5 linked regions of the Danio rerio genome follow. The protein of the gene in region 5 interacts with the protein of the main gene of each other region in a biochemical or structural test. Links are inferred from orthologs where the notes say so. Each region holds a gene or a part of one and is shown on either strand. Other genes may lie near its edges.

The links.
Region 1: the proteins of nr0b2a (region 5) and esrrga form a complex in vitro, tested with the Homo sapiens proteins (2 studies listed by BioGRID). The link is inferred for Danio rerio from reciprocal best matches to the Homo sapiens genes NR0B2 and ESRRG.
Region 2: the proteins of nr0b2a (region 5) and smarca2 form a complex in vitro, tested with the Homo sapiens proteins (2 studies listed by BioGRID). The link is inferred for Danio rerio from reciprocal best matches to the Homo sapiens genes NR0B2 and SMARCA2.
Region 3: the proteins of nr0b2a (region 5) and esr1 form a complex in vitro, tested with the Homo sapiens proteins (2 studies listed by BioGRID). The link is inferred for Danio rerio from reciprocal best matches to the Homo sapiens genes NR0B2 and ESR1.
Region 4: the proteins of nr0b2a (region 5) and hnf4a form a complex in vitro, tested with the Homo sapiens proteins (4 studies listed by BioGRID). The link is inferred for Danio rerio from reciprocal best matches to the Homo sapiens genes NR0B2 and HNF4A.

The regions. Positions count from the first base shown.
Region 1 is NC_133192.1:31,252,081-31,258,396, reverse strand, and holds part of esrrga (estrogen-related receptor gamma a), read left to right. Parts: intron 1-4,543; coding exon 4,544-4,813; intron 4,814-6,316. UniProt on the Homo sapiens protein: Orphan receptor that acts as a transcription activator in the absence of bound ligand. Binds specifically to an estrogen response element and activates reporter genes controlled by estrogen response elements.
Region 2 is NC_133180.1:46,018,643-46,025,398, forward strand, and holds the start of smarca2 (probable global transcription activator SNF2L2), read left to right. Parts: upstream 1-2,748; 5' UTR 2,749-2,931; intron 2,932-3,075; exon of another isoform or gene 3,076-3,155; intron 3,156-4,752; 5' UTR 4,753-4,767; coding exon 4,768-4,992; intron 4,993-6,756. UniProt on the Homo sapiens protein: ATPase involved in transcriptional activation and repression of select genes by chromatin remodeling (alteration of DNA-nucleosome topology).
Region 3 is NC_133195.1:29,087,630-29,093,945, forward strand, and holds part of esr1 (estrogen receptor), read right to left. Parts: intron 4,784-6,316; coding exon 4,560-4,783; intron 1-4,559.
Region 4 is NC_133198.1:28,798,162-28,805,195, forward strand, and holds the start of hnf4a (hepatocyte nuclear factor 4-alpha), read left to right. Parts: upstream 1-2,574; coding exon 2,575-2,662; intron 2,663-2,664; exon of another isoform or gene 2,665-3,117; coding exon of another isoform or gene 3,118-3,124; intron 3,125-4,132; coding exon 4,133-4,307; intron 4,308-4,401; coding exon 4,402-4,496; intron 4,497-4,965; coding exon of another isoform or gene 4,966-4,980; coding exon 4,981-5,087; intron 5,088-6,509; coding exon 6,510-6,665; intron 6,666-7,034. UniProt on the Homo sapiens protein: Transcriptional regulator which controls the expression of hepatic genes during the transition of endodermal cells to hepatic progenitor cells, facilitating the recruitment of RNA pol II to the promoters of target genes. Activates the transcription of CYP2C38.
Region 5 is NC_133191.1:58,815,009-58,822,025, reverse strand, and holds the start of nr0b2a (nuclear receptor subfamily 0 group B member 2a), read right to left. Parts: upstream 3,641-7,017; 5' UTR 3,590-3,640; coding exon 3,278-3,589; intron 2,169-3,277; coding exon 1,976-2,168; intron 897-1,975; coding exon 655-896; 3' UTR 1-654. UniProt on the Homo sapiens protein: Transcriptional regulator that acts as a negative regulator of receptor-dependent signaling pathways. Specifically inhibits transactivation of the nuclear receptor with which it interacts.

The sequences.
Region 1 (6,316 bases), on a different chromosome or scaffold from region 5:
AAACATTTTACAGAACTAAACAGTCAGTGACTGCAGCAGTAAAAAAAAAAAAAAAAAAAAAAAAAATATATATATATATATATATATATATATATATAATTTTTATTTATTTATTTTTTGCTTAAAGGGATAGTTCTGCTAAAACTAAATTCTGTCATCATTTACACACTCTTTATTTTTTCTGAACCTGTTTGAACACAATTTTTTTTTCATTTTTGGGTGAACTATATCTTTACTGTAGTGACGGTTGGTTTGGAATAGACCATTTTGAGGGATGTAAAGAAAACAATGGTCCCAACGTATTTCCTGTTTTGCATTTTAAATTTCTATAGATTCTTAGAATCCAAAATGAGACACATATCGTAATAACATTAACAGTATGATAGCTGTTTAAGCATTTAGTTATGATTGAATTGTTACAGTTATGAAATAGTTTGATAACAAGCAGGGAATGTTCCTTGGCCAGTGACATGACCACATTGAAATGGTCTGTCTATTCATCCTGTCCCTCCACCAATGTGATTGGATGGCTGGCTAAAATGACAATTGATGAATGCTGCATTTTAATAAAAGGTGAACATTCTTCAACATTCTGTGACCATTATTTTAAAAAGTGTGGTACTTACATTGAAAACTGAAAAAAAAGGAAAAATGCTTTGGTGGAAAGATCTTTAGTCAAATGAGCTTACCAAATCAAACAAAAAAGCTGAGAATAAACTTTTACAAAAATGCCACTTACAAATGCAATAAATTATACAATAGCAATGCAATGTACTGTCAAAATCATATTTATTTATCATGTAAATGAATATTCCCTTTCGTATCTGCAGTGATCCGAAGTATGTCAGTGGATATTTTTCCAAATGATCAACATTAATAAGGGATTACACTTACCTCTAAGGAGGCCGTGAGGATCTGATCTTATTTTTAGCCCATGCCACCTTTCATTGAGGCCAGTTTGTTTGCAAGAATGCCGCAGTCTTGCATTAGACCCCCTTAAGAAATTCTTGGCTTAATCCCTTTTGATGATTTTATTAAGTAGTAGAAGATGGCCCTGCCAACTGGCATTGGGCACACTTGCACCAGCAGGCCAGGAGAGGCACCAACTGCTCACCAGCTCTTAGTCTGCCTCTAATGAGATCAGAGATGTTAACAGTTTGGGATAATAAATTAGCAGTTGGTATAAACAATAGCCCCAAACCTATACCTAATGAGCTCCTTGCCATTAGTGATTAACTGGCAAAAAAAAAGAGATTTCAAAATAAAAGAAATGAGCAGAATTGCTGTCTTTCTCTGAAGGCATTTCTGCACAACAGATGTTGGTGAGCAGCTCTTTCGTCTCATTCCCCCGCCACTCAGATTAGCCCCCGTACTGTCGCAAACAGAGACGCTTCATCTGTTGTGGGAAGAGCAGAACCGCTGAGATGAGACGAAAAGGTCCAATACCAACAGGTGCTGTTGTGCCTGTTTTCACCTTCAGATCTGATGGAGAGCTCCAATGCATTTATGCGGTTTATACATAAAACTGCTTTCTGTCATAAGACTGCTTTCATGCTTTCAGTCAGCTTTAGTTTCGAAGAGTGCTTGCTTTTTTTTTTTTGTCTTGTGCATAAATAAAATGTTTCAAAAAAATGTAAATTGATTTAAATTAATTCAGTTTTTTTTTACCTATTTATGTGTTCATTCAAATTATAATAATGTTTATGACAAAAAAATCTATATATATATATATTCATGTTGTTTATAATTTACTTTTTATTTTACCTAAAGGGAATTTAGAAAGTTAGGTTGTTAATTTTCTCAAAATTTCTCATATTTTCTATTATTAATATTCATAAAATGTATTATTTAAAAAACAAATTTTATTGTAATTAACAGGGATGTCCAGATCCGATCACAGGATCAAAAATTGAGCTCGATCACTTAATTTTAGACTCAATCATAATCAGACGTTACCTCCCAATTAGGACTCAAATATATATAGTAGCACATATATATGCAGTGGCACAGAGTTAGACCTATTTTTTGAGTTCACACAGAAACAGTAATGCGTGTGGAATGACATCATTTTTTTGCAAAGACGCAGCTCGAAGCGGGAAAGCACGTGTATGTCTGCGGTCTGGAGGTATTATGAAGTTGATGAAGACAACATTAACATAGCAAACTATGAGGCATGTAAACTTGAGATTGCCTGTCGGGTATTTTAAGTTAAGGTGCTATTTATTCATATTTTTACATTTACTAGTGCACTAAAGTGCAAAAGTAAAGAATTGATGTTATTATCTTACTTGACTGTTCAAGCTACCACACAGAACTGCTCTGTTTGTTAACATATTGAATGTTAAAATAAGGAACATCCTGGATCTGTTTTTTCCCTCCTCTTTAATTTTTTTATGTATTATAGAACTATCGGATCGGGTTTTGGTATCAGCAGATACTTAAAATCTAATGACTTAGACTCGAAGTGTGATAAACCTTCAACAACGATAGAACCTTTTAAATCCACAAAAGCTACTTTATAGTGAAAAAAGTATCATCATTTAATAATAATAAAAGTATCAATACTTTGATCATTAACATGTATGAAATTGGTAACATTTCTCTAAAATGTTTTTTTGGGGTACCAAAAAGGTTTCTTGCTGGCGCCTTTATTTTTAAGATGGCAATACTAGGAAGCATCACCTGGTACTTCACTATTAAGTATGTTCCTCATACCTAGAACCATGTTTTAGACAGACAAAAGCCCCATGATAGTCAGCTTCAAACGAAATTCACAAACATGAACTTCAACAATTTCCAGAAAAAAAACACAGAAAAAGCGGAGAAAAGTGTGTGCAGAGTTGGGGGAGGAGGAAGGAGATGGAGTTTGAGGCAAGCAATTAGTCTTTCAGTTGGTGTGATGGGAAGAATTGATCCATGCTGCATGTTGGGGGAGATAAGGAGTGCCCTCCCTCAGGATGCCCCCTGGCCTGCAGCGCGCCAGCAGATGAGAGCCAAGGCTCGTGCGAGGGCCCTCAGTTCACTCCCGCTGGAGTTTTCCTTTCCATTACACCTCCAGAATGTCAATGCTTCTTTACTAACGCAACCGCAAACTTCTGACAACCAATTGAGCTTTTATGTATCGCCGCTGAATGTTGATTTGAAGCTGAACGTTCCTCATTGAGTTGAACAAAGCTTTTTTCTGGCTCTTTATTCAATACTTTCTTACTTATGCAGACGCACACTTCTGACAACCAATCGAGCTTTTACTGTATGCATCACTGCTGAATGTTGAATTTCATCATTGAGTTGAACAAAGCTCTGTTTCTGGCTTTTCTCAATGCTTCCAAACTAACCAACTGAGCTTTTTTCCTTTATTTTTCATTTCACTTTACATTCAAGGCTGAACGTTTAACTTTTAGTTGAACAAAGCTCTTACTCTGGCATTGGTAACTGTAAGACTGAACAGTTAAGTGAACTCAAAATCTGACTGTATAAAGCTGAACTTAAACTAACTGAGTTATGGCAAGATATTTAAGGGGGAATGCTTTAGATTCTTATTGTTATTGCTTTATTTTATATTCTTATGTTTAGAATTTTATTGTTATTATTTTTGTTATTGTTGAAATTTATTTTAAAATAAAAAAAATAAAATACATACATTTTAAGTTCATCAAACTAAACAAAATACAGCAGCAATAAATGTATCAAAATAAAATGCTGTATTTTTGTAAAATGACATTTCTTTGCAAACCGTTCGTCAACAGGTCTTTTGCATCAACCCCTTCACCACTAAATTAACATAGGGAAGTAAACAATGTTTGATAGCAACAACTTTTTTCTGCCACTTTGTTTACCTAAAGGGAGAAGTTGTGGCGTAATTGTAAGTGAGTTGGACTTGTAACCCAAAGGTAATTTGTGTTTCTCTTAGAGTTACAAATTACAATCCATCCATTATTTGTACAGTATACTCAATTTACCAACATTATTTCAGTTCTTTTTTAACTGAAAGAGTCTCGGATTACCCCCATTAAAAACACCAGCACACCTTATTTAGGTGTTTATATTTCTAAAGTTCCTCTGCATTTCCACCTGCAGCACTGAGACTGATGATGTTCTCAAGCTGCTCGTTCTGTTCTTTAGGACTGAGATTTTATTCAATCTCATTTCTTAAGGAAAGATGCTAAATTGTACACTAGACAGCCATTATATTTATGGTCTTAGCATCAGGAGTGGTTGTGTTAGCATTTCACTGCATATCATACTGTGTATGACTCTGTATGTGACAAATAAAAATTGAATGAGCTAAAATGAGTATAATACAATGTTCTGTTATATTGAGATTCGTTTGAAATTTTGTATAGTTGAAGAGCATAATGTTTTAGGGGAGGATGGGTTGAAAAAAGTTTTTAAAAATAAGCAAAAAGATTGCTTATAAATGTAAATCTACTACACAATCAAAAACTTCTGACCACTAATTGAGTTTGTATTTTATCACTGATAAATGTTGATTGGAGTGATCTGATATTGAGTTGAGTTGGTCTCTTTCTTTGTCATTTTTCAGGCTTTTCCACACTGTCGCTGGCGGATCAGATGAGTCTTCTGCAGAGTGCGTGGATGGAGATCCTGATCCTACGTGTCGTCTACCGCTCACTGTCTTTTGAGGACAAGTTGGTGTACGCTGAGGACTACATCATGGATGAGGATCAATCCAAACTGGCGGGTCTGCTCGACCTGAATAATGCCATTCTTCAGCTGGTGAAGAAGTACAAGAGCATGAAGCTGGAGAAGGAGGAGTTTGTCACTCTTAAAGCTATAGCCCTGGCTAATTCAGGTAAAATTAGTTTTAGTTAAAACTAGACTTTAGTCAAAGAAGGCACCATTGTTGGTTTGATATGTGTCATTTGTGTTTCTAAAACTGGGTCAGTGTGATTATACTTTAATTTTGTCCAAGTTTATTAATGTATTCATAAATGAATTATAAAAGCAATTTATCCATAGTATGATTACAGTATCTTATTTGATTTAAGAAGAAAATTAATCAAAATTCAATACAATTGTCTTGATATACAACATTCTAATTCTGCGTTCATTACATGTTAAGTCAATGCAAAGACATGATCAGACATCCTGTGGCGCGATACAAGCGAATGAGGTGGCGCAATACACGCGAATGAGGTGGCCCGAATGGCATGATTCGCGCAAATGAATCTGTACAAGTTGAGTGTCTTGTGCAATTGCTGCGCGTGTATTGCGATTTTCGTGCAAATCGATGAAGTTCGAAAATCCGAACTTCAACAGACATTCAAGCCGCGTTAACCAATCAGGAGCTTGCTCTTGTGGAGGCGTAATTATGACATAGTGCCTGTTGTTGGTGTCCTGGGAGAAAATCCTCCTGCCAACACCAACAACAGTTTATCAAATTGGGCTAGGTTCAGTCAGAAGCACAGCTAAAAGCTTCCTTTATCTAGGTTAGATTTCTGGAGGAGTGAACTCATAGAGCTAGGAGCACCTCTGAAAGGATCCAGTGGACTCAGACATGGCTCCAAATGAATTGACACTGTTTTTCAGCCTTCATAAAGCACATAAACTCTATGTTAGCCATTTAGCAACGAAGCTAGAGTCACAGGGCATACAGAAGCCCTGCGTCTGTTGTGGAGTGTATTTGATGCGCAAATGATTTATGCTGTGTTATGGTGTGAACACAGCATAAAAGAAGAGTGCCAAAGAAAGTCTAAAAATAATTCTCTCACAATAATTTAAAAAAATATATATTACTAATAATAATAATGAAAAGATTTTATAAGGTATCTTAATATGGTATTGCAATATGATATCCTATAAGATATCTTAAAATGGTATCGTAATATGGTATCTTTTAAGGTATCTTAATATGGTATCGCAATATGGTATCTTATAAGGTATCGTAATATGGTATCTAATAAGGTATTGCAACTTGGTATCTCACTATATTGTGCAATTTTATCTGTCATTTTTGTTAACTTCATCCTAAATTTGGTGTCCTCTCTGATTAAAGTCTATGTTGTATTAAATTATACATTGTTCAAATTGTGGTTTGATGTGACTGTAAAGTTATCCAGGTACAGCTCAAGAGATATATCAAGATCTCTGTGTTTCTTTCTCTCATGTTTTGTTTTTCTCAATTCACACACATACTCAACAACAGCAACACACCAAATAATGTTCCCACCCCTCCCCACCCCCTTTAAACCCTTCAAAAGCACGTCGGCCCCTATCCGAATTAGCATAAGTCTCTGCTCAGATGCCTCTTAAGTAAGGAGCCCATCACTATGCACCTGCATGTCAATAACAGGCT
Region 2 (6,756 bases), on a different chromosome or scaffold from region 5:
AAATTGGAGGTTTATGTATGTGCAAAGTGTTTATCTTGGCTTGTGTTTGCTATTTAGTTTTTTTTAATGGTGTACAGTATAGTGTAGTTTCCATATTCATAGTTGAGATGTTTTTAAAAATAATTATTATAAAAAATGAATTTACAAAATCCTAAAAGAACAACAAAATTAGCTATAATTTTGTCAGCATGTTCTCTTAATTATATAAAATCCAAACAATCAAAACAGTATTTCCAAAATAATAAATAAAACACTAAAATGTTCACTTTTGGTTTTCTTTGCAAAAGGGTCACCTAATCTAGTTATAAAGTAGGCAGTACTTGTTTTGATAAATACATTGTAGTGTACAGTGACAGAACAGTTCTGTGATTTTTAGGACTTTGTATTTTTGTTTTTAATGACATTTGAGAAATAATCAGTTTTTTACCGCACAATTAATGTGATTTCAAAAATGTTACGAAAACATTTGACAATAATGTAAATGCTAATGCAGGTTAATATTAGAATTAAATTTCTTGGAAATGAAATGTATATATATTTAGTGTCTTAATGCAAATGTAAAAAGATGCACTAGTGGCAATCGTGAATTATGGTACACTAAAAAAAAAATATTTCTGCAAAATTGTTGCAAACGATTTATGTGTTGAATTTCAAAACATTTTGTGATGTTCAGCTTAATTTGTTTGCTTAAATTCAGCCCAAAAAAATATTTACAACCACTTAAAAAATAATAGTAAATCCAAGGAATTATCTTTGACTCACGTTTCAGTGTAGAGCAGTTTAGTAAAAATATATTTTATTAATTTGAGCAGTTTAGGTCTTTTTTAGTATTCATTTATATAAATGAGTTACAATCCATATGATTTACTCACTTTATCACTCTGGCTGTTTAAACTACCTTTGCTTTAAACGGGCTGTTGACAGTATTCGGGATTAAAACTCACTGAAATCTTGAACAATGACTCCCTCAAGTGGTCACATCATAAAACTACGGTTTATTTCGCTTAGAGGCCAGTGAATCCTGTATTTTAGGGTAGGTTTGGGTTAGTATCTGCACATGGGTCAAAGATGAGACATTCCCCAAAATATACAAACGTGATTTTAAATGTAGCCTACAAAAAAATATATATAGAATATACAGAACTCAAGTGTCTAGTTGTTTTAAATGACTTGTGTAAAAATAAAATGTCAAAATAATGGTAACAATGTTCCGTTCTGTAAAAATTCAACAACATATTCTGATGCTTCAAATAAAAGAACAGTCATTATATTATATTTTATAAAATTATATTATATTTAGCTATGTTATATTATATTTGGTTATATTATGTTATATTTTATTATATTATATTAGGCTTTGATATGTTATATTAGGCTATATTTTATTTTATTATATTATAATTGGCTATAATATATTATTTTGTGTTTTATTATATTATATTATATTATATTATATTAGGCTATATTATATTATTTTATTACATTATACTATATTATATTTTATCTTAATACATTTTAAATTATTTAAAAAAACTTCTTGCTGATAAAATGTGTAAAATATTGCTTGACAGATTGTAGCAAAGTATACACATTTAAAATAATAATAATGAAATATTAAATAATTAAATAATGAAGTATTCCTAGTATTTGAAGCCCCATTGGGTTCATTTAACAGTCCGTGTATACAGTTCATATGGCATCAAATTAAATTATCCTTGGTCTAAAAAGGCTGTATATGTAAAAAATTTTAAAAACTGTTTATTCTTTAAATAATGATATAAAATATGTCATATTATTATAACGGTTACTTTATTTATTATTAATTTATTGCTCAGAAATAATTAAATAATTCACATTAAATGGAAGTATTACATTACTACACTTATTTATTATTTTTTTTGCTTGAAAATCGTCTTCGACTCACATTAAATCAAACAAAAATCATTTAAATATACAACTTAACAACATGAATAAAAAACAAGGAGTTTTTCTTCTTCCTGTAGTTTTTCATCTTGTTCCCCAGAATACATGATAATCATACAAATGATCATTTAAATATTTTACTAAGGAGGCTTTTAAAGTTTAAAATTGTTAGGGTTGGGTGGTCTTTAAAGATTTGGACCAAGCTGGTAGCATTCCCCCTATGACTAAACCAATCAGAAGCCGTGAAGTTATTATTTCTTATGGGAGTCAAACTTCGGCTCAAACGAGCAATTTAATTGTAAAAAATTAAATGTATATTATACATTAAATATTTAATTTAACATTTAAATTATAATTAATGTAAATATACAATGTAATACATCACACTTGGTTTTACATCGAAAACTAAAAGCATTTTCCTCTTTGTAGCAAACAGTAACATGCTGCTTACACAACACATGCATTTGCTATGGATGTAATTTTCCCAATAATATCGAAACATAAAACAAAGCGTCTTTCTAAAAGATACGCGCGGACACAAAAAAGTATGAATAAAGCCCATTCTGTGCGTTGTGTGTGAACGCGAGAGCATATAGAAGAGTTTGTCCCTAAACGCCCTGGCGGACAGACGAAAGTTCCAGCACGTTCGTCGTTGTGTGAAGTGAAAGTTATGTATCCGCCAGCCTCCACCCCCAAATATATCACTAAATGATAGACGTGTTCTTCAGCCAATCACACGACAGAGGCGACTGCATTTCCTGCTCTCTCAGCCAATCAGAAATAAGAAAACACTAAAAAACGCGGACTTCAACTTGTCAGCAAAACAGAAGGGGGAGGGGATCAACATATGGCAGTCATATTTCTGAAGCTGAAATAATGTGCTAGACCTTTTATTGTGTTGTTTACCTCGCAGAAGGTAATTAGGTTTAAATACTCTTTGCTTGGACATTTATACTAATGTATATATGTCAGCGGGCAGCATTTTGGGCATTTTACTGATAAAATGTGGTAAGCTAGCATGCTAACATAACTGTACAGACGGTTAGCGAGCTGTTATATCAGACGGGGGGCTAAATAAGCTTGCTTGCTATTAACTTTGACAGCATAAAAGCAGGCGAGTAAATGACTCGTCTATGAATGCAAGAAAAATACCTTCGTAATCCAACGAAACAGAAAAGCTGCTGTGAATGTGCGTTGGTGGCGCGCTGTGATGGGAAGGTCCCAGAAAGTTTGAGATTTCAGGAAACTGCAATGGCGTGAGGGGAGACAGTCATGACAGCAGGTCGAGGAAGCCATGATCCGATCACAGCAACTCTCTCCAAATAACACCCCGCTATCACTGCATTGCTTCTTTTTAAAATAGGCCTTTTGCGTGTGATATCACCGTTAACAGCGACTCTTCCTAATTAGGCTCTATTTAAAGTTTTAGTCATCATGCTCTGAACACTAAACATAGGCCTGCACGAATGCATTTGTACATTCAACAGCAGAATAACGTTAGTTGTTTATTCAGGTCTTTAGCCTGGGCTGATCTGCGTGAATGAACTCTTGTTGGTTCATAGAGACGCGAATAATTACTGTAATTTTAAATAAGGTCTGTAATTAAATGTTAGAGGGCATTTTCTTGATAAAAGTGTGTTATTATCTTACCCTCTGCAATGTTTTACTCTTTACTGTCATACTGGTGGCTTGTGATTCTGTATTTTCATTCCAGAAGTGCCGCTTGAGGGGCGTGTCTGAGCACAGCGCGGGTTATAGTTATGCAAATAACCCTGTCAAAGTTTTGGTCTACCGTGTTGTCTTTTACTTCATAGTAGAAACAACAATAAAGCAGTGCTAGGAAACAATGCAACTTATTAAGTCAAAATCACTCAATTTAATGTATGTTTCCTTTATCTGAGTGGGTGAGGTCATAATAGGCTAATAATAATAATAGTAATAATAATAATTACTATAGTAATGATGATGATGCACTCACATGGGAGTCAAATGTTTATCTAATAATTATTAATGCTAATTTATATATAAGATAGTTTTACAGAGCAAATTAATTGCTTGTTTTTTTCAGCAAGCAACATGCTTAAGAAACTTATGCAAAGTAATATGAAACAATGCAATGTTAGGAGTAAAATATTTAACAATAGCTTAAAATAATTGATAATTGTTCTAAATTATTTGAAGCAGGGGGAAATTTGTTTTTAAAAAAAATCTGGACCCTGAACTATCAAAAATGTATTGCACACATTTCAGTATTATGACAGAACTTGGTTTCAGGTTATTTATATATAATGATGCAAGAAGTCACAGCAGAGTGTAATGCAGTTTCTTCTGGCGTGTTGCTTTTTATTTTAAAAGAGAACAATGCATATTTCTATGTATTAAAACAAGTTATACATGTCGGATTATTTCTGAATAGGTAATATTTATTAATAATAAATATAATCTTAAATGCATTTTAGTTTATTAATGTTTGTGCTCCTATAACTTGCATTTATATGAAGTTTTATGATCAATTTACAGTGAACCTTTTCATAAGATGCATTTGGCTTGAAAATGCTGTCATTTGGGGTGCCAAGCAATGTAGTGCAGGCATGACAAAAACCCAATAGACCCATCTTTTTTCTTCTTCTTCATATTTTCTTATTTCTTCATATTGTCAGTTCATGGGTAAAATAAAGTTTGTGGCAATTTTAATCTGATGATACTGTAACTTCTGATGTTTACCTAATACCTTATAACCACAGACGTAATTTTACTCAAATATTGAAGAATACGGTAGGAAAGGCTTCATTTATATTATCTTTAAACTTTTGTCAATTCCTCTCACAGCTTCTCAGCTGATAGATGGCCACCCCCAATGAGCCACCTGTTGGGATGTCCCATGCTGGTCCCTCACCGGGTGCTGGCCTGTCTCCGGGCCCCATCCTAGGACCGAGCCCTGGACCTGGTCCTTCTCCTGGCTCTGTACACAGCATGATGGGCCCCAGTCCAGGACCTCCGAGTGTCCCACATACAATGCAGGGCCAAGGAGCAGGAGAATACTCACAAGAAATGCACCCAATGCATAAGGTAGAAGAAAATTCAAAACGATTCAACCAGTTGCTTCTCTAAATGATTCGCCTTTTTGAAGCATTCAAAACAGAAATGATTGAGCGTATGCCTAATTATTGAACATTTTGTATTGAACTGAAACTAATATGAATCTGTCTGCCTGTCGTTAAATAAGAAAGCTGCCAAAACAACTGAACTGCTGAAAAATAATATTATCATTATAAGCATTACTTTTAAATGATCAGATCTTTTTTGTATACCTAACACTCTTAATAATTTACTTATGGTTTGAGATGTATATTGTTTTATTTCTTTTGTTTTATTTTTTATTTTTTATATTAAATATTAGTTTTTCTTTGATGTATTGATTTTATTTCTTATCCTTTATGACATTTATGTAACTAGCTGTACAATGAATATGTATCATTTGTTTTCAGGTCACACAATATTAGTACAAATTAATGTTTTCTGTATCCTGTTATTAATATTAATAATAAAAAACTAAAATAAATATAAAAAGCATTGAAAACAGCGCATGTTAGCGGCACCTAGTGGTCAAAACTATGTAAATGCAACAAAAACTCAGCCAAAAAAAAAAAAAAAAATGAATGCAATTGACCTTATTCTCCGCAGACGAGTGGGCGCTGCCATTTGAATCTTTTTGGCACGAGACTTCCGGTCTCATTCACTTGCATTCATTTTTAGACATTAAAAACTGCTCGTTTCGCTGTTTAATGTTGCAAACTGATATTTCCTTGTTGTATTATTCTACTTGGTCTGTATAGTCATGCAAACATTTGTTTGTAGAGCAAGTAGTTTGACCGTTTTTTGCCGTTTATTATTCCTTGTCATTTTTCCCATAGGCGACTGAAACGGAAGTTCTAAGACAATCGCGAAAACAGGCGCACTTCCGCATTTTAGAATAAGGTCAATAGAATGAGTGGGATCTGGCTGCAGAATCAGTGCAGATGCAATCTTAGTTGCATGTAATGCTTTTAAATGGGCTCACCTAACCCCACACCTAACCCTATCCATCAAAGCATCACTAGCTCTATTGAGCGCATTGTGTCTGACATTGCATCTCACAACTTGCATCATACAAGCTGCATTGTTTCTTTGTTCTGCTTGTTGTGAACTTTAAATTGAAATTATAACCTATAAATGCACATAGCTCACAATCTAATGTCCCTAAATAGTCCCACTTTATATTAGGTGGCCTTCACTACTATGTGATTGCATCATAAAATAAATATACAATGCACTTACTGTGTTAATAATACATTGCAGAACACTTCTGGTGCACTTGAGGTGATACGGGTTGGGATAATCACTGGTTTGGTGTTATGAATAGGTTTATGGGTGACTTCAGGTGTAAGGGATGGTCAACAGTGTAACTGCAGAAATTGATTACATGCAAGTATTTAATCAATCTTGAGCAAAATGCAAAAACATGTATTTAAACCATAAGTACATTGTAAAAAATGCTTAATTTCAGTGTACGTATATATTAGTTGACTAAGCTCTGCATACCCAGTACCGGGTTCGGGATGTCATTTACTTTATCGCAATCTTTAAATTTTTAAGGTCCGTACTTGCCAAATACCCCCATAAGTGGTTCCGTTCCATCATCAGTTGAAATAAAACAACTTTTACATTGATTATGATAGATAAATTTTTTTTCCCTGATTACTGACATGTGCAGGAACCACCAAAATTAATTACAGCAACCAAGACCACACAGAACCTAAAAGGTACACTTACAAATTTGAGTTTACAAAAAAT
Region 3 (6,316 bases), on a different chromosome or scaffold from region 5:
TATTTGTTGATATAGATATGTAATACATACATTGATATAGATATGTATACATATATATATTACACAGTTGATGTTTACATACACTGTATAAAAAGACACATAACCATTTTAAAAAGTCAGTTGTTATTGTGTGACTAAACTTTTTCTCTTTTAGGTAAGTTTGTATTATCAAATTTGTCTCTGTTATGCTTAATAGCAGAATAATGAGAGAGAACTTCTCTTGAAAGTCAAGTTTACATACAATAAGATTAGTATGCCTCTGACAAAGCTCAGATGATGTTGTCAAGGTTTTGGAAGTTTCTGCTTGGCTAAATGCCAATATTTGAGTTAACTGGAGGCACAACTGTAGAATAGTATTTTAGGAAAACATAGGAACATAGGAAAATTAACTAGCCAGAATCAACAAATTACAATTTGCTAAATTACACTGGGAAAAAGAATAATTTTTGGAGACATGTCCTGCTGTCTAATGGAACTAATATTGAACTGTTTGGCCATAATGACCAGTGTTACATTTGGAGGAAAAAGGGGAAAGCTTACAAGCCTAGGAACACCATCCCAACTGTGAAGTATGGGGGTGGCAGCATCTTGTTGTGGGGCTGTTTTGCTGCAGGAGGGACTGGTCCACTTCACAGCAAAGATGGCATCATAAAGAAAGAGCATTATGTAGAAATACTGAAGCAACATATCAAGACATCAGCCAGGAAATTAAAACTTGGCCACAAATGGGTCTTCCAAACAAACCATGACCCTAAGCATACTGCCAAATTAGCTAAAATGTGCTTTAAGTACAACAGAGTGAATGTTTTGGAGTGGCCATATATATATATAAAATACATAAATTGGCAGTTTTCCGTATTGTGATTTCTGTTTCAATTTTTCATTTTTCTGAGTTTATTTATGCTTTTGAATTGCTTTATGTCATCTTAATCTTCCAATAATTTTTCACCTTGAAAAGCTGAGTGAGTGACTTTAATTAACATTTGTAATAGTTTAAAGTGATGTATTGTTTGGGTTGGTATTGTATATTACGCAACAAAAACCTTGTAATAAACTGCCCGTATTCTCTGGACAGATTTCTTATACATTATATTATTTCAAACTACTGAAATGTCGATATAAGTCACGTAGTTAAACTGTAGAGTTGAACTTGCAACTTTAGATCAAGGTCCCATAATAAAATTCGCAACCATAAACCAAAAACACTTGTGAATCACACAATACGGTTAATTAACAGATATTGTTACAGTGAACTGTCAAAAATATTTTAACTAAACCAAATTCATATTGCTGCAATTTAAAACATATGTATGCTTCATTATCTTGCTTTTCTTCTTCTCAGCCTTGTGCTCTTTTCTTCCCTCTATAAAGTTGAAAGGAAGCTCTGTTCTGCCTTATGCTCACTGTAATTTTCCTCACCCAGTGTGCTCTGAAACCCATTTATCAGACATACACTTACAGTCATTTTCCCCAGTTTTCCTCACCCGAACTGCAGTTAGAGTCGGCAGCTGTTCCCTGCTCCAGCAGAGAGCTCATCAGGAGCCTGTGTGTCAGAGTCCAGCTCAAAACATCTCACCAAACCCACCCAGACCCGCACCCTTGATGCACAATACACTACTGCTAATAAGGTGCAGACAGAGACAGCTGTGTTCTGTCATTGTGTATGTCCCAGATGTAGCGCACATGAGATTTTGATTTTCACCTCATTCTAGCAGCTTTTAAAGGGAGGATAGTAGGGAGCGTGTGAGGATGATTACCTACTGGACACATTCACACATTCACATTTGGAAGCACAAAGGCTTGACTTGAAAATTATAGTATTACTACTTTATTTTCCATCCCTCGAAAAATGGCACTGAATGAAACTAACTGTGATTGGTTGCTTTACATGGCCATTAGATAGCAGAGAAGTTGTAGTTTTGAATTGGGTGAAGCTAGTTATGGGGATGTAAAGCCTAAATACTGGAATTCAATCCATAAATGCAAGAGACTTTTATTGAGCAAATGTGTTTCTAGTCCACATGAAATCAGAATCTACTCAGCTTATTATGCTAGTGCACATTGTTTGTCGACCAATTAATCCACAAAAAAAGGTTTGATCTGGTAATCTTTAATTAAAATCTAACAGTACGGTAATCTGAGTGTGTCAAATAAGAACAGGTTGAGTAGCCTGGTGGTAAAGGTGGCAGGCAAGATCTTCGGTTTTAACCAAACTGGTTCAATGGTAATTTACCATAATTGTGTTGTAAAGAGAGCGCAGGGTATCCTATGCACCCTGGATCACCCATTGTACTCTGTGTTTCAGCTGCTGCCATCAGGACATCGTTTTAGAGTTCCTATTTGCAAGACAAATAAAACTAGAAATTATTTTATAATTGCGGCCATTAGGTCATTAAATGAGTCCAGGGGGGAGGGAGATGCACCTACAAAATGATGTACACTGTAAGAAAAAAAATTATAATTTTACAGAAAATATCTCAATTTTTTTACAGTAGTTTTTTGTCATTTAAAATTATATTCAAAGTCAGTAAAATGACAAACAATCTCTCTACTTTATTTTAGGTACTTTATCATTAAAATTACTGACATTTTAGTGTTTTTTTATACAGGGAAAGTACTGTATTATTTATAGAGAATTTTAATGTTATTTTAAATTATATTCAAAACTCCGTAAAAATTACAAACAATATCTGTTAATTAACAGCCTGACTGTTATTTTATGTATAATATAATTAATGACAAATTACAGCAATTTGACTGTTTTTATACAGTAAAATCGCAGTATTATTTACAGTGTTTTTTCCCGTTTTTTTTTTCATATAAAAGAATGTAAAATTAAAGTAATATATTGTAATTAGTTGCACTTTTAAAATGAAAATTGTAAAAAAAAAAAAAAAAAGATAAATAAAAAAAAGTCAAATGACTGGCAGCTATGGCTGCCAAACAAAATCCATAAAATTATGTTAAAATTTCTTTGTTGAAAAAAAGTACAAAAATAATAAATCAAGAATGAAATTGTAGACTTGTATAGGGCTAAACGCTAAGGATTTTTAAAAATGGCACAGATAAAATTTTTGTTTTTACTTGCCTGATCAAAATTCTAATTCTAATTAGTTATTTCTTAGCCACATATTTTAAAAAAATGTTTCAAAACAAGCAGACCCTAGTTGTAAACATACAAAAAAAAAAAAAAAACGCTTTGAAAAAAAAACCTTTAATAAACTAAATGTATGCACAACAAGCTGTTATAATATTAATTACAATAACCAGAGCAATTTCAGTAGGGCCCAGGCACCATAGGATATGTGTTGAATTGACTGGGTAGCTTTACACAAACAAAGTAAATTAAGACCCATTTAAAATGATTTAAGACCTACCAGACAATATTTAAGGGCCTGAGATTAGTTTTTGAAATTTAAGACATAACTTTATTGGACCCTGTGGACACCATGGAAACATGAGAGGAGCATAACATAAAACAACATATATAGGAAACATAAAAGTTTAATAACTGTTTAAAGATTACTGTGATATCAGACAATTTACTCAGTTTGCACTGTTACCTGCTACACACACACACACACACACACACACACACACACACACACACACACACACACACACACACACACACATATATATATATAATAGAAAAGCATGCATATTTAGATGCAAGACATTGTGTAAGTGTTGGTCCTTGATTTTGATTAGCTGAGCAGCACTCTAACAGCACAAAGAGGTGATTCAAACAGCACAAATTTTTGCATTTCATTTCACTGCATTGTTTTTATGTGAACATGCAATAGCAAATCCATCGATGAATTGCCGTTTTGACTTTTTTCTGTGTACATGCAATAGCAAATCATAGCATCATCCAGTCTTGTGTCTTGGCAGCATTTTGCAGTGTAATTAGACAGAGTTACAAAAACACAAAACTCAGGTTTAACTTTTGAAAAATGTCCTATGTTTAGGTATTTTGGTCATAGTCATGGAAAAATTTAGGTGATGTTTTCTTACATGGTTATACCAATATTGGCTGTTTATGGGGTTTGATTTATGTTTAATGTAAATATTTAGTTTTTTTTTTTTAAGCATACAAATAAAATACTTTTTAAAACAAAACCCCCACCACCAATGTAAAATTCATGATATCTACTTTTGATTTGTATTGTATGAGCAAGATGAAACGTGCAATCTATTGTTGTGAATAAACTGTCAAACCCAAAAAGTTAAGGTAACATTTGCAGAAGTTTGCGTAAACCGATTCCAACAAACAATTTAAGTTTCAAAGCTAATCCTTCCTCCATTTAAGTTAAAGAAATGAAGTATTTATTTAACTCATTACTTTCAACACTGAGTTCAAAACTCTTTTCAAATGCGTAGAATTACCTTTCAGTATGTTTTAAGTCAGCTACAGTCATTTCATTTGATAAAGTTGACTGTTGGGTTTTACAGTGTATTAACAAAGCTGTGATTTGTTTTTGTTTTTTATTTGCAGCCGCGTCACATCCCTGCTGATATTCAGAACAACAAGACTGCATGTAAAACAGGCTGGTCACCTTGAATGCTTCTCTTGAAGAAAGCTTTGCATCCCTCACACGACCAGACTCCGTAATGATATCCAGAGGCGTAGTCACTGCACACCGCACAGAAGCGAGTCTCTTTCCCTGAATCAAAGCCTCCAGCCGCTCTGGATCCAGTGTACAACTCCTGCCTGTCAGTGGCACTGCACAGCTCCTCACACAGGCCCACGGCTGCCTGCTGAGAGGACACCACACTGGACCTGCACAAAAACAGAGGTGAACAGTCAATACACTAGATGTTACACTTCATATAAATAATTATTAAAGCAATAGTATTTAAAGTCTATATGAACATGAGGAGGGTGGCGTTTTATTTTAGCACTCCTCCTAGTCATCTCTCACATCTCAAACTAGATTATAATTGTAAATCAGGTTATAAATAAGAGGAAATAAGCATGCGCAAAAAATAGTAACAGCGTTCGCATGGGTTTCCTCCGGGTGCTCTGGTTTCCCCCACAGTCCAAAGACATGCAGTACAGGTGAATTGGGTTGGCTACATTGTCCATAGTATATGAGTGTGTGTGGATGTTTCCCAAAGATGGGTTGCGGCTGGAAGGGTATCCGCTGCGTAAAAACATGCTGGACAAGTTGGCGGTTCATTCCGCTGTGGCAACCCCGGATTAATAAAGGGACTAAGCTGACAAGAAAATGAATGAATGAATAAAAAAAATTGTGAAAAGGGGTCATTTGATAATGTGTTATTTATTTTAATTAAGTTTAAATTTCATCACGAAAAGGGCCATAAACATAAAATGCTAATGTTAACTTGTAATCATTTTCATCCTTTTAAAAAGTAAATTCTAAAATAAAGATCACATTTAACAGGGTTAAACTAGATTTTGAATGTAAAAAATAGGAAATAAGCATGCACAAAATATAGTGAAAAGGGGTCATCTGATAACCATTATGGAAGCATACACCCTAGAGTATATGGACAATTCAGTTCTAGAAAATCAGAAGAGTTTTCAAAAGTAAAATTGGCAGCGTGCATTGAGAATATGTACGTGACTGCAAACAGGGGGCAAGTGTGACTATCTCCATTTCCTTTTGACCCTTTGTTCCAGTGTTTGTAAATATTTATTATGTCTTAATTCTGATGTCCAGCAGATTGATTGCATGATCTCAGAAATGTTCTAAAGTGTCACCAAATGACAAATGACGTTTCCAAGCAGTCTTGCCTTTAAAAAAGAAGACTAGTTTTATTCAGACAACATGCTTTGGTTATAATGCTGTCTTCAATATTTGCTGTCCCTTGATCTCACTCAGTTCGTCTGAACGTGAAAAATGTTCTCCGTTGTGTTCAGACAGAACTAATTGTACTTTTCTCAAGGTCTAAAGACAGAGTTTGATGAGAGGCTTTACGCTTCTTTCAAAGACTGGTGTACTTCAGTCCCCATGTTGCACTCAAGTGTTTACTGTCCTAACCTCTTTTCCGAGAAATCAAGATCTACTCTAATCAAGAGCACTAATATTTAACAGCACAAACATAAAGCATAAACTAACAACAAGTAAAATAAAGTGTAATGTTCTGCAGAACATCAAACACACATCCACATAGAGACGCATTTATATTTTTTGTTAGTTTATGTGCTAAGCATAAATAAGTACACCACATTTTGAAAATTAATATTTTCATCCATTTCTCAGTGGATATAATCAATGTATTTTGGTGCATTTGGAACAAAACAGATTTATTAAACAGATATATTTATTAAAATAATATTTAAATTATA
Region 4 (7,034 bases), on a different chromosome or scaffold from region 5:
GGAGAAAATCTTATTTCTTTTAGTTTGGCTGGAATATATATATATATATATATATATATATATATATATATATATATATATATATATATATATATATATATATATATATATATATATATATATATTAAAGAATGGTCAATATTATTAGCCCCTTTACAAATATAATTGTTTTTGTGATTGGCTTCTAAACAAACCACTGTTTTCCAATGACTAATCGTCCTAATTTACCTAGTTAAACTAATATCTTAAGCCTTTAAATTGTACTTTAAACTGAATACTATTGAAAAATATCTAGAAAAATATTATGTACTGTCATAATGGCAAAAACAACAGAAGTTAGTTATTAAACTAATATGTTGACAAATGTGTTGAAAAAAGTCTTTTCTCTGTTAAACATCACATGGAATATTTTAAAAAGAACTCAAATTTTACAAAATAGATAAGAATTTTGACTTCAACTGTAAATTGTTTTAAATGTGTAAGACATTAATTAACCTTTGTAACACAACTGAGGACATTTTTGAGATTTCTGTCCCAAACACCCACATCTCTCATACTTCAAAACATTTCTTGAATAGTTAAAAACATTAATCCATAAAAATCAAGGTATCAATCTCCAGTCTCCAGACATTATTTTTTATATAATGAATAGCTTGGCTGCATCTAAAATCACACTCTCCTTACTTCACAACAGCAAAAAAAAAAAAAAAGAAAAAAAAAAGAAGTTCTATAACGTATAAATAAGTGTATTATGAACGAAATCTGGATGTACTTCGAGAAAATACTAAGGGCCCTATCATACACCCAACGCAATGTGGCGCAAGGTGCAGATGCTCTGTTTACCTGTTTTCTCTCTAGTGAAGAGTTCAGTTTTTCCAATAACAAAGTCCGCCATGTAAATTACAAATGCACTATGGCGTGATGCAACTGACTCTTAAAGGGAATGGGAGATGGGTCTCTGATTGGTTTATTCTCAAAACACATCTATAACTCATTAAGAGAACCCTGTTAGACCATGCGTCACGGTGCAGAGCGGATTTTCCAGTCGTTAAAATAGTAAAAGTGGATTCGGATACGCCATTAATGCTTTTGCACCCTGTGCTTTGGTCTTTGCGCCTTGATCGTCAAAATAGAGCCCTAAATCTGTTCATCACATAATGATCATGTCTCTTCAAAAGATATGGATTTATTTACGAATTATTTACGAAATTTATTTAAGAACGTTCTAAAGTATTTGGGAAGAAAATGACTAAAATCTCTCCCATTTAATTAAAAATATCTTAATTTGTTTCTGAAAAAAAAGAGCAACAGTCCGAGCAGCCACAGGACATCAACATGATGTCAGATTGACGTTGCATCCCAACATTGTGGGACGTTGCATTTTGATTGGAAATGAAAATCGGGTTGATGCCAGAGCTAAAAGTCTGTCCTACGTTGGACATAAACATTGGCCTGACTGGGTTCTGACGTCAACTTTGGTTATCATTATCAACGTTGCATTTTCCAACACAATCTAAAAACAACAAAATATCAATGTCTAATGATGTTGCAGCTTGACGTTGTGTGGACGTTACCACTATGACATTTATCTGACGTTGGATTTTGGTTGCCATACCTGACAAATAAATGTCAGTAATTGACTTTAATATGACGTTGGTTTAAGATGTTGGCTCAACGTTGGATTTTGGTCACTTTCCAACACAACCTAAAATCAACAAAATATCAACGTCATTTCACATCATTATTGGACATCAAAAAAACACAGTCCAAAGACACTGGCGACCTAAATCTAACCTAATATTAATGTCTTAAGATGTTGTGTGTCTGCTGGGGTCTTATGGGTTTGTAACAACATACACTGTAAAAAAAAGTCTGTTAATTAGTATGTTCTGTATTTCATGATTCTATTTTTTTCTCTTTAATTATGGTTATGAGTTGCATTATGGTACTGTGATCTCTACTCTGTACACTTTTGATGTAAAAAACAACTTTTTCAACTTTTCAAACAACTTTTTTTTTTTTACTTTTCATTATCAAAAGTCATTATCAGAAGCTCATGGTCCCATGATGCAATGAATCCCATTACTGCAAGTATAAATAATTGGGGAAAAACATCACAAAATACAGAAAACTGGTAAATTATGGATATATTTACAGTCCAAGACTGAACAAGTGATAGCAAATTTTAGTTTGAAGTGAAAAACTGTCAAAAAGTTTAGTAATTGGTCTATATTTTTAAGTCATGAATTTAAGACACAGGCACAAAAAAATAAAACAGTAACTTTCCCTATTTGTCTCCATTTCCAAAAAAAAAAGCAAAACAACAACTCTGATTTAGCATTTTAATGATTAACATAAAGTCCATCCCACTGGAGAGGAGGAGGCCCTAGACTGTCAATCACAGCGAGCCTCATCTTTGCCCTTGAGGACATGGCCCCTGTCACTCAGAGGTGTCTACCCCTTCAAGAGGAGGGGCCTGGCCTATGAGGGGGTGTCCAAACGCTCTAGAGAGGACAAGTCTTTCCCCCCAGCATCAGGTAGATGAGAATGCGTTTGTCCAAACCACTAGTAGACATGGAGATGGCAGACTATAGCGAGGCCTTGGATCCAGCCTACACCACGCTGGAGTTTGAAAACATGCAAGTGCTTGCGATGAGCACAGGTGAGTCATTCGGAGTGAACTTTGAGACCTTTAGAGACTTTATATGGGCTTCTAAATGGTATATGGTCAAGCGTGGGAGGCAGGGTTGATAGGGTTATAGTGATTGCCAATTGGCAAGTTCGTAACCTCTTGCATGGAAAAGCCAATATAGCAGAAGCCAATTGAAAATAAATTTTTTGGTTGAAGATAAGCAGCACTGCATGCTCCGTCCTGCAGATATGGAAGTTCACAAGGAGAAGAGGTTCATCCGTTTCCTTTTGCTTGTTCTCATACAGCTGGCTTGGGATAAAATGACTTGTTTGGATAGTATTTCAAGAAGAAGTTTGACACCAGGATGAATGATTACTAGAAGAAGAGGGTGTCATGTAAATGTTTCGCAGCCAATCCTCCCATGTCTAAGTTTTGTGCAACAAATTGATATTCAACCGGTGTCAACCTGACACAAGTAATTTAATATGAATGGTAAGGTTATATTTAAAGTTTAAGTAAAGCAATAAGAGTCCAGTTTAAAAAATGTTTACATTTCAGTTTGATTGACATTTGAGATTTTTTTAATAACTCACAGCTAAAATGGAAACCGCTGAGGAGAATTGTTATACAGTAGAGTACATTCAAATTATTTTAATTATTATTTAATAAATTGCAATGAAATATATTGATCACAGATTATAATTTTTATATTTAAACATTTTTTGTCACAACCATAACCACAAACACCTAATGTGACAAATCAGATGATGATTTAGATGATCACTACATAATCACTCAAACTGATGAGCCATTTAAGGTTTGCCTTTGATCATTGCTTAGGTTTTAATGTGATTACTCTGACTGCCTCCAGCATCAAAATTAACAAGAATCGTTTTCTTAAAAATGATGAATGTTTAAATGGTTTCTGTCATCAGCATTAAATCCAATCAGATCTTTTTCTTCAACAAATTGATGTCCTGTTGTTTATGGAATAATCAATCATTCATAGAAAGTCAGTTTCATTAAAAACAAATATATTATTTACATATACATGAGTAACATTTCAGGTTGAAATTGTTTTGTAGGTCATCAAGAATGCTAATTAGAGTTTCTATAATCTAGCATGATCTTGTTGTAGCTTTTGTACAGATTTAGTTCTAATCTTTTCTGGATTACTAAGCAAACACTCCTTTCCAGCACATGTTTGTGATGACGATTCACTGCAAATTGATTGAGCTGTAAAAATGTATTTTCTAAAAGAATTTCTCACCCCATGACCTTTCCCCTATTTGATTTAACTCTGATAGGTCTGGAATAATTCTGACTTGTTAGGTCTGCAACCCACATTTTTAAGCGTCATTGAAAAAAGACAAATTTTATGCAATCACTTATCCTATTATTTTAAGTGCCTCTTCATTCTCTGACTATTTTTGTTGCATGAATAAAACTAAATCAATTTAGCACACTTTTGACTAAATTCAAAATCCCCTATGATTGCAGACTCCTCACCACAAGAAAGTGCCAACATGAATGCTGCCAACCACTTAGGGGCCGGCACTCTATGTGCCATTTGTGGGGACCGGGCCACAGGAAAGCACTACGGGGCCTCAAGCTGTGATGGATGCAAGGGGTTCTTCAGACGCAGTGTACGCAAAAACCACATGTACTCATGCAGGTTAGAGAAAATTAAATATTCTCTAAATTATGATCAAAAATCTGCAATAGTTTCCATCCAATGCATCTAACTATGTCTTTATGTTTCCTCACAGGTTCAACAGACAGTGCATAGTGGACAAAGACAAGAGAAATCAGTGTCGGTACTGCAGACTAAAGAAATGTTTTCGAGCTGGCATGAAAAAAGAAGGTACTTGCACATGTTGTTAGATTACATTCACATAAAACTAGCTAAAAACTAAAACTCTCTTGGCTTGTTTGGGAGGTTAGGGGATGAGGTGGCGCAAATAGGAGATGTTGCAACAGCATAGAGAGAGAGAGAGAGAGTTAGCGAGAGACATTTTGTTAATGTTCACTCAACAATGCACTGAAGTCTATGTCTGGTTTATGCTGAACAAACAGTTTAGAGCCATCATAACTGCACACTGATAAAAAAGTGCAACCTTGAGGACGGACGCAACCCCCCCTCTCACAAAGTCAGCTAATATTCCCCATCTCCGCTATCTCAATTGGTTGTCAGAACTGGGTGGCATTTGCTGCTACTGATAACGAAAGAAAATGTTTCAATGGTTTAACCAGAGTTGGGTTTTTTTTTTTTTTTAAAGTACAACATCCAAAAAAAGTGTTTCTTATTTTAATAATTTGTTGATTAAAAGTAGTTATCTCATCCTCAGCTGTGCAGAATGAACGAGACAGGATTAGCACCAGAAGATCCAGCTATGAGGACAGCAGCTTACCCTCCATAAACGCACTCATTCAGGCTGACGTTCTTTCTAGACAAGTAAGTAGTGTGAATCAAATCAAAGTACACAATAAGCAAATCCTGGTAAAACCTATAAACTTTAAACAAGACATCTGAAGGTTGGTTGCTTTGAAAAAGTGTAAACACTGCAGTGTTATCAAAACATTGCTTTGTTTGTTTAAGCATCCCAATCAGAACTACATAGCAACATTGATCTAACCAATGATGCTAGTTTGGGGCAGGACTATCTGATCAATGGTAGACGAGGGATTTGTTTAGGAAACCTGTTCGGAAACAGTCAATACATCTGCAGTTCTGCTGGGTGGTGCTATATCAATTCTACTTTATTATATGACTTGTACATTCTATGTTTATAGATAAAAATTATTACTATTCATTCATATATAAAATAATTTGTATTGTCATTTATTAGGCAAAAAAGAAAGTCTTAATGAATTTGTATTTTTATATCCAGAATTCTCTCAGTACTGTGAATTAATTAAACATTAAAACCTTTTTTTATTAAGGACTGCAAGTAAATAACTGTAACTGGGCAGCTGGTTACAAAAAATAAAACAATTTACTTATTTTTTCAGCCTTTCTTGTGAAACATTCATTTTGAAAATTCACAGATAACAATATTATATTTCAAAATTAGATATACTGTGTATGTGATTGTCCACACACGGGTGAATTAATCATTAAGTTATTGGAATTAAATTGAAAGATGCAATATACAAATGAAGGAACATGGTGATTAAAAAAAGAATACCACAACTTTGAAAATCGAGAACTCAACAATGAAGAAAATGAAAGCTTCTGTTGTTGATTTAAGGAAGCTCTGGAGTTTTATTAGGTTGCCTATTTGAATGAAAGGTACCCAAAGCAATAGATCGGCCGCCAGGCAGCCTGTGACAGAGCACTTCATCACTGGCCTCCAAGAAGCCCTGACCTCACCCCCTCAGTTTTTTTCAATAGGGTACGTTAAAAATATGGTTTACCACCTCTACTAGCTAACATTGAGGAACTAAAAGAAGAAATAACTGCAGCTATCCAATCTGTTATGCCCGAGATGCTAAAGAGAGTGTGGAATGAGTTCGAATAACAGGTTGATGTCACGAGTGTCTGAAGGGGGTCATATTGAACATCTATGAACTTGTTTTCTACTGAAAAAAAAAACGTTGTTAAGTACTCATCACATGGATTGATTATACGAAGTTCCATCATGTTTCTTTGATTAAATTTTCAAAGTTGTGGTATTCTTTTTGAATCTCCCCATTATTATTATATTCATTAAAGAAAGTAAAAATTTTGAGCAGCTGTGGTGGTCTCATAAATATGTTAGTGGTCTAATAATATTGTTATGCACTGTTTATAAGTAATAATAATAAGATTTAGTAGTAATGTTTATGTTTAAGAGATGTATAGCAAAATACTTATAAAGTATATACCCTCATATAGATTTCATCACCGGGTCCAATCTTGAATGGTGATATCAGAACAAAAAAGGTAGCCGCAATAATGGATGTGTGTGAGTCTATGAAACAGCAGCTGCTGGTGCTGGTGGAATGGGCAAAATACATCCCTGCATTCTGCGACCTCCCGCTGGATGATCAGGTAGGACAAGTTCCTCTTATTTATCTACAAATGTGTCCTTGCAATATTTACTTAAATGCATGTTGGTGTCGACTGAATCCGTGTTTTGTTTTCATTGGAAAAAAAGTTCAGAGATCTCTAGTTTGGGTGGTTAATGTATTTGGATGGCTCAGGTTAGAATATGATGAGCTGGTTTGAAAGTTACATCTCTTCTTGAGACATTCAGAATCATTAACACGCTGAGCACTGAGGCATGCTAACTTATCAGTGTTTTAGCTGTGGGTGAGAGCGTCTCAAACCGCATCTTCTCACACATGGAGACACGCTAAGACTAACCATATGGTCATCATAGAGACTTTAAACAATTCATTGATTTTATATGAAATATTC
Region 5 (7,017 bases):
ACATCTGATCTATCTTTTCTTCATCTGACAAACATGACAAACTAAGCATGTTTACCTGCATATACGTGTCTTTTATAAACAAGTTTGTCTGATTTCCTCATAGATTTTACTTTTACACATTAAGATTTAGTGTTTAGTGTTTGTTTAAAATATGATTTGATTTGTTTCACTAAGGGGCTGCTCTCACCTGGTCACTTCATGCATTTTTTTATGCATTTATAGCTCACGCTTCTGTCAATAATAATATTAAATAATTCAAATGCTGTGTATCTGATGCTTTAGTTGATGTAACCTAGTTACATTTGCATATAGCACAAGATCAAAATCATATCCATTTAGCAGAGATGCATTAATGTGATCAAAGTTAATCTCAATCACATCCAATCAGATTTTGTTGCGGGGGAGAAGCTCATTTGCATTTAAAGGCACAGGCTACATAAACAGCTACACTTTCCTCTGACCCCAGAATTCACATCTTCTGCATGGTGTATTAAATGATCTGATGGGTATTTTGAGCTGAAAGCACATTCTGAAGACAGGCTGATCTTACATCTTGTAAAAGGGATCAAATATAAGCACTTCAAAATAAAAATAAAAGAAATCTAATTTTAAAAAGGTAGACTATAATAACCTTGCAGCACGGCTCTCGGCTGTCTATCGGCTGAAGAGCATGTCTGCGAGCAGATCCAGGATTTGAGCATCTCCGATGACGGGCCGAAAGAACAACTCTGTGATCAGACTCGGCGTGATGCTTTTTAATGTGGATGCAGTGAGGAGGATTCGAGCAAAACGTCCTCCATCCTGGGGATAAAGAGGAACCAGAACCTCCTTCAGGGCCTGCTGAGCCTCATACTGAAGACCTTCCACAAACAGAGACGCCTTCAGATCCGGCACATCTGCAGATGGAGAAAATCAGATGCAAAGAAGACTTTAATATTCTAATGGAGTGAAAAGAAATATAATATAATATAATATAATATAATATAATATAATATAATATAATATAATATAATATAATATAATATAAAAGACAATATAATAGTACTGTTCATAATAGCTAAACAAATAAATAAATACAGAATTAAAATGACATAATATTTTTGGACACTTTATCCAATACATAATGCAATGAAATAAAATATAACTTGATAAACTAAACTTTTACATAATTAAAAGTATATATTCTATCTATATCATTTAGAAATGAAAATATAATGGGAATATTCAATGCAAAGCCAAGGGAAAATAAATAATAAAATAAAGTACAAATAAATAAAATTCCATAATTAAAAATATATATTATACATCATTTAAAAATAGAAATAGAATAGAAATATTCAGTGGAAAAGCAATGCGAAAAATAAAAATCAATAAAATAAAATTGCAAAATTACAAAATTTATTATAGATCATTTAAAAATAAAAATAAAATAGAAATATTCAATGCATTGCAATGCAAACAAATGAAAAAAATAAATATTATACATAATTTAGAATTAAAAATAGAGTAGAAATATTCAATGCAAAGCAATGCAAAAACTAAATTAAAAAATTTAAAAATTACAAAAATATGTTATACATCATTTAGAAATAAAAATGAAATAGAAATATTCAATGCAAAGCAAAGCAAACAAATAATATATATATATATATATATATATATATATATATATATATATATATATATATATATATATATATATATATATACATATATATATATATATATATATATATATATATATATATATATATATATATATATATCAAGGAAAAAATAGAATAAAAATATTTAACGTAGAAATAAATGAAAATAAAATAACTTTTCCATAATTAAAACAAATATTTTATATATCATTTAACAGGAATGTTCAATGCAAAACAATGCAAAAAAAATAAATAAATAAATAAAATTAAATCTTTCCATAATTAAAAGAATATATATTATGCATCATTACAGTGTCTGTGCATCCCACCTGGATTGAATATGACCGTGCCCTTCAGGTAGGCGTACTCCTTGGGGCTCAGATCCAGACTCCAGAACTTGTTGATGCAGGATTTGAGCGTCTGCACTCCAGCCAGTGTGGGCTGTTCAGAGTCCGCACCTGCGCTCTCCTGCCCGCTCAGCAGGATCCGCTTCAGCATGCTGGGAGCCGCGCTCTCGTCCACCTGGAATATTTCAATAAATCAATATATCATCAAAATGAACATGCACAATATAACAATATACGAAAACACTCTACAATAAGGTTGCATTAGTTAAAGATAGTTGATGCATTTACTAACTAATAAACTTTGGAACATGTTCAATAACTCAATATATCATGATAATGAACATGCACAATATAACAATATACGAAAATGCTGTCCAATAAGGTTGCATTAGTTAATGTTATTTAATGCATTTGTTAGCATCAACAAACTAACTATGCAAAATAGGTTGTGACAATGAACATTCACAATATACAGTAACATTTTACTATGAGGCTGCATTAGATAATGTTAGGTAATGCATTTACCAGTAGAAACAATATATATATATATATATATATATATATATATATATATATATATATATATATATATATATATATATATATATATATATGTATATATATATAAGCACACATGCATGCATATATTTGACAAAACGTTTATATTTACATATAAAATATAGACACATTATATATATATATATATATATATATATATATATATATATATATATATATATATATATATATATATATGTATATATATATATATATATATATATATATATATATATATATATATATATATATGTATATATATATATATATATATATATATATATATATATATATATATATATATATAATGTGTCTATATTTTACAATAAGGTAATTAAGCTAATTAGTATATTTGTTTATTTATGCATTCTATATGACAGATTGTCCCTCTTCCCAACAGGGAAAACCAGCAACAATCAAGAATGCATGATTATATGCTGTCATGGCTTTGCAATCATAAAATGTGACTACAATGAATGTCAATCGGGCAAAAACAGCCCCCAACATAACCAAAGGGAAGTCTATCTGAACAGTGTGTTGTTGAGATTTTAAAAGCATTTTCCCAAAATATGTGTCAAAATAAGATTTGTCAGCAAAAATCATCACATTTGCTGAAACACAGAGAAAGTTGAGGCCAAATTAAGACTCAAAATCAGCCCAGAGTGGATAAAAATGACCCAACACAAGAGTTAAGAGTTTAAATCTCTCAAATAACAACTTATTTACCTGGAAGTGCACCCTGTCCTGCGCCAGGCCGAGGATGAAGAGCGGCGTCCAGCAGTTCTGCAGGAGCTTCAGCTGGTCTTTGGGCGGCAGCTGCTGAAACGCCGGCAGATTCTTCATGAAATACACCGTCTTCACCAGCACGTCTGACGCCAGCGCACACGTCTCACTCGGCGTCTGCAAACACACTCGTCTGCGCTTCTCACAGTGACACGTCTGAGGAACACGCTTATAGCTGAACTCTCCACGGCTGAGAATATTAAACAGGATCGCATTCGGCTGCGCAAAATCTGCACAATCACATCCGCAGTCCATGATGATGATAATGATGTGTGTGTGTGTGTGTTTCTCCAGCTCTTACAGACTGTGAGACATTCACATCTGGCTCTTATTTATACAACACACACACACACATACAGAGCGGTTGAACTTTGACCTCTGCCTCTGCTGTGAACTAAACAACTGATCTGTGATAAGCTGAGAGCCACTGTAGGCCGGGTTTATTATTATCTCTGAGGAGGCATTATTACACCAGGCCGTACCAAGCGACCAAGGACTAGTCCATTATATGATACTATCATTACAGAGCAACCCGTGAGCCTATAATCATAATAGAACCTATAAACCTACAAACAGCTCCAAGCCAAGGAGGAGGAGGAGGAGGAGGTCGATGACCTGATAGAGGAGATTATCATAGTTCAGACAGGCCCAGAGCTGTATTTATCTCCTTTTCTTAGGTCACATATTGCAATAAGGTTGTGCTAGTTAATGTATTTGATATAATTAACCAATAATAAAGAATTATTAGCGCCCCTTTGCTTTTTTTCTATTTTACATTTTTCCCAAATGATGTTGAACAGATTCAGGAAATGTTCACAGTATGTCTGATAATATTTGTTCTTCTGGAGAAAGTCTTATTTGATTTATTTCAGCTAGAATAAAAGCAGTTTTTAACTTATTTAAAACCATTTTATAGTCAATATTATTAGCCCCTATAAACTATATTTTGTTTCTCAATAGTCTCCAGAATAAAGCATCATTATACAATAACTTGCCTAGTTACCCTAATTACCCTAGTGAAGCCTTTAAATGTCACTTTAAGCTGTATAGAAGTGTCTTGAAGAATATCTAGTCTAATATTATTTACTGTCATCATGACAAAGAGGAAATAAATCAGTTATTAGAGATGAATTATTAACACTATTATGATTAGAGATGTGTTGAAAATATCTGCTCTCCGTTACACAGAAATTGAGGAAAAAAAAAAAAAATATATATATATATATATAATGTTCGCATTTCTAATCATAATAGTGTTAATAAGTAATCTCTAATAACTGATTTATTTTCTCTTAAAGTGACATTTAAAGGCTTCACTAGGCTAAAGTTAGGGAAATTGGGGAATAGGGTTGCACGGTTTACCGATACTATTATGGTAGTATCGTGATACGGCTCCAAAATACTGGCAATGCCACTGTAGTTTGTCAATGTTAGCATCGTCATTAACGGTCTATCTACAATACATAATGTTGCATGTGGTTTCTAAAAACCTCACAGGTTTGTGCAACAATAGACCACCTTATTTGAATAGTCTGTGCTGTGGAGCATGTTTGCAAGTTTGTAAAACCGTGTAGAATTCACTCATTTTTTGGGAGCCTATTGCACGTTTTCTGACGCTTCAGATTGAGTCTGAATCAATTTATTTCTGCTGCTGTCAGTATGATTTAGTAGCTACAACAACTGCGACCAATCTCTTAAAAAAAGTGACTCACAAGGTGAAATTTTTAATCACCTTATGAGACTGGAAAAAAAAAGATACTGGAAACATTAAAACTGAATTTGACCACTTCATGAAGCCTAATTTGGTTGGAAAAATGCTAATTTTACTATTAATGTAAGTTTAATTTGGTATCATTTGTATCTGTATTTTAATGTATTTATTGTTGGTCAGTTATCTACAAAATAAACAAAAGACGAATACATTTCAGGTGAAGTGACGTGCAAATACTTTTCAATATTAAGGAAATCATTATTTCAATTCAAGTAGGCTTATAACATATAAAATATAGTATTTCTGACAGTTTGCTTTATTTCATGGATTTGAGTTATGAATTACAGTATCTCAATACTACTTGGTATCACGACACTTTAGCTGGTTTAGTATCATAACATGATTTATTGGTATCGCCACAACCCTATTAGGCAAGTCATTGTATAACAGTGGTTTGTTCTCGAGACAATCCAAAACAAATTTTGCTTAAGGGGGCTAATAATGTTGAATTTTAAAATGGGTTTTAAAAAAATTTAAAACTGCTTTTATTCTTGCTGAAATAAATCAAATAAGACTTTCTCCAGAAGAAAAAATATTAGAGGAAATGCTGTGAAAAATTCCTGAATCTGTTCAACATCATTTGGGAAATATTTGTAATAAAAGAAAATTATATATACAATTTTTTAATATAATTTTAAGTGGTACTAATCTTTAGATACGAAATGTCCCCATCCTGCGGATAAAGAGGAACTAGAACCTCCTTTAGGGCCCTTCTGAGCCTCATATAGGGACTACCTCCCTATATATCCTGATACTGTCACTTTATCTTATGTTTACAAGCCTTTTTGCACTATATACGGCTCTATCTGCACAACTCTGGTTTGCACTCATCGCCATATGCCCTTAATGCTTTTGTATATTATTGTATTGATTACAATTTTTATTCTTTCTTTTTTTAATTATTCTTTAGACTACAGTTTATGTATATATTTAGACTAAATTTTAGGAATATATTTAGATTACATTTTATGTATAATTGTATTTATTGTAAATTCTTTCTTAAAACTCTACTTTTTGTATTAACGTTATATGTTAGGCACCTAGGGTCTGAGAGTAACGTCATTTCGATTCTCTATATGTCCTGTACATGTGGTGGAATTGACAATAAAGCTGACTTTGACTTTTGATACTGAAGACCCTCCACAAACAGACGCCTTCCGACCCGGCACGTCTGCAGATGGAGAAAATTGGACACAAATAAGACTTTAATGTACTAATGGAGTGAAATGAAATATACTAATGTATGGAAAATTAAACAATATTTAAGTACTATTCCTAATAACTAAATGAATAAATACATGTATTAAAAATGCATAATATTTTGTACACTTTATTCAATGCAAAGCGATGCAAAAAATGCTATGAAGTCAAAGGAAAATAAACTAAACTTTTGCATAATTAAAAAAAGTTATATGTCATTTAGAAATAAAAATATAATAGAAATATTCAGTGAAAATCAATGCAAAGAAATGGAAAAAAATAAGAATATACATTGTTTAGAAATAAAAATAATTTTAAATAATTAAATAAACTTTTCCATAATTAAAACAAATATTATATGTAATTTAGAATTATGTTTAAAGTAGCACAAAAATGACTCTGGAAGCCATACTTGAATTGAACATGTCAACATAAATTAATTTGAGTTTCATTACTTCACTACACATTTAACTAACCAAAGATTAATTGCTTAATGGTTTGCATTAACTGCAAGTCTGATCAGACTCTCAGAATACTCAACTTTTTTCCAGGGTTAGAACAACATGAGGAGAAATAAATGATGAAATCCAGCAGCTCGAGGTCTTTTACACAAACACAGCTCGTTATATAATGGAGATCTGCAAGCTTGTGGGATTTTCTGCCGTGTTGTGACCTTGTGCTACTAACATGTCAAGGTTTATTGGGTCACCTG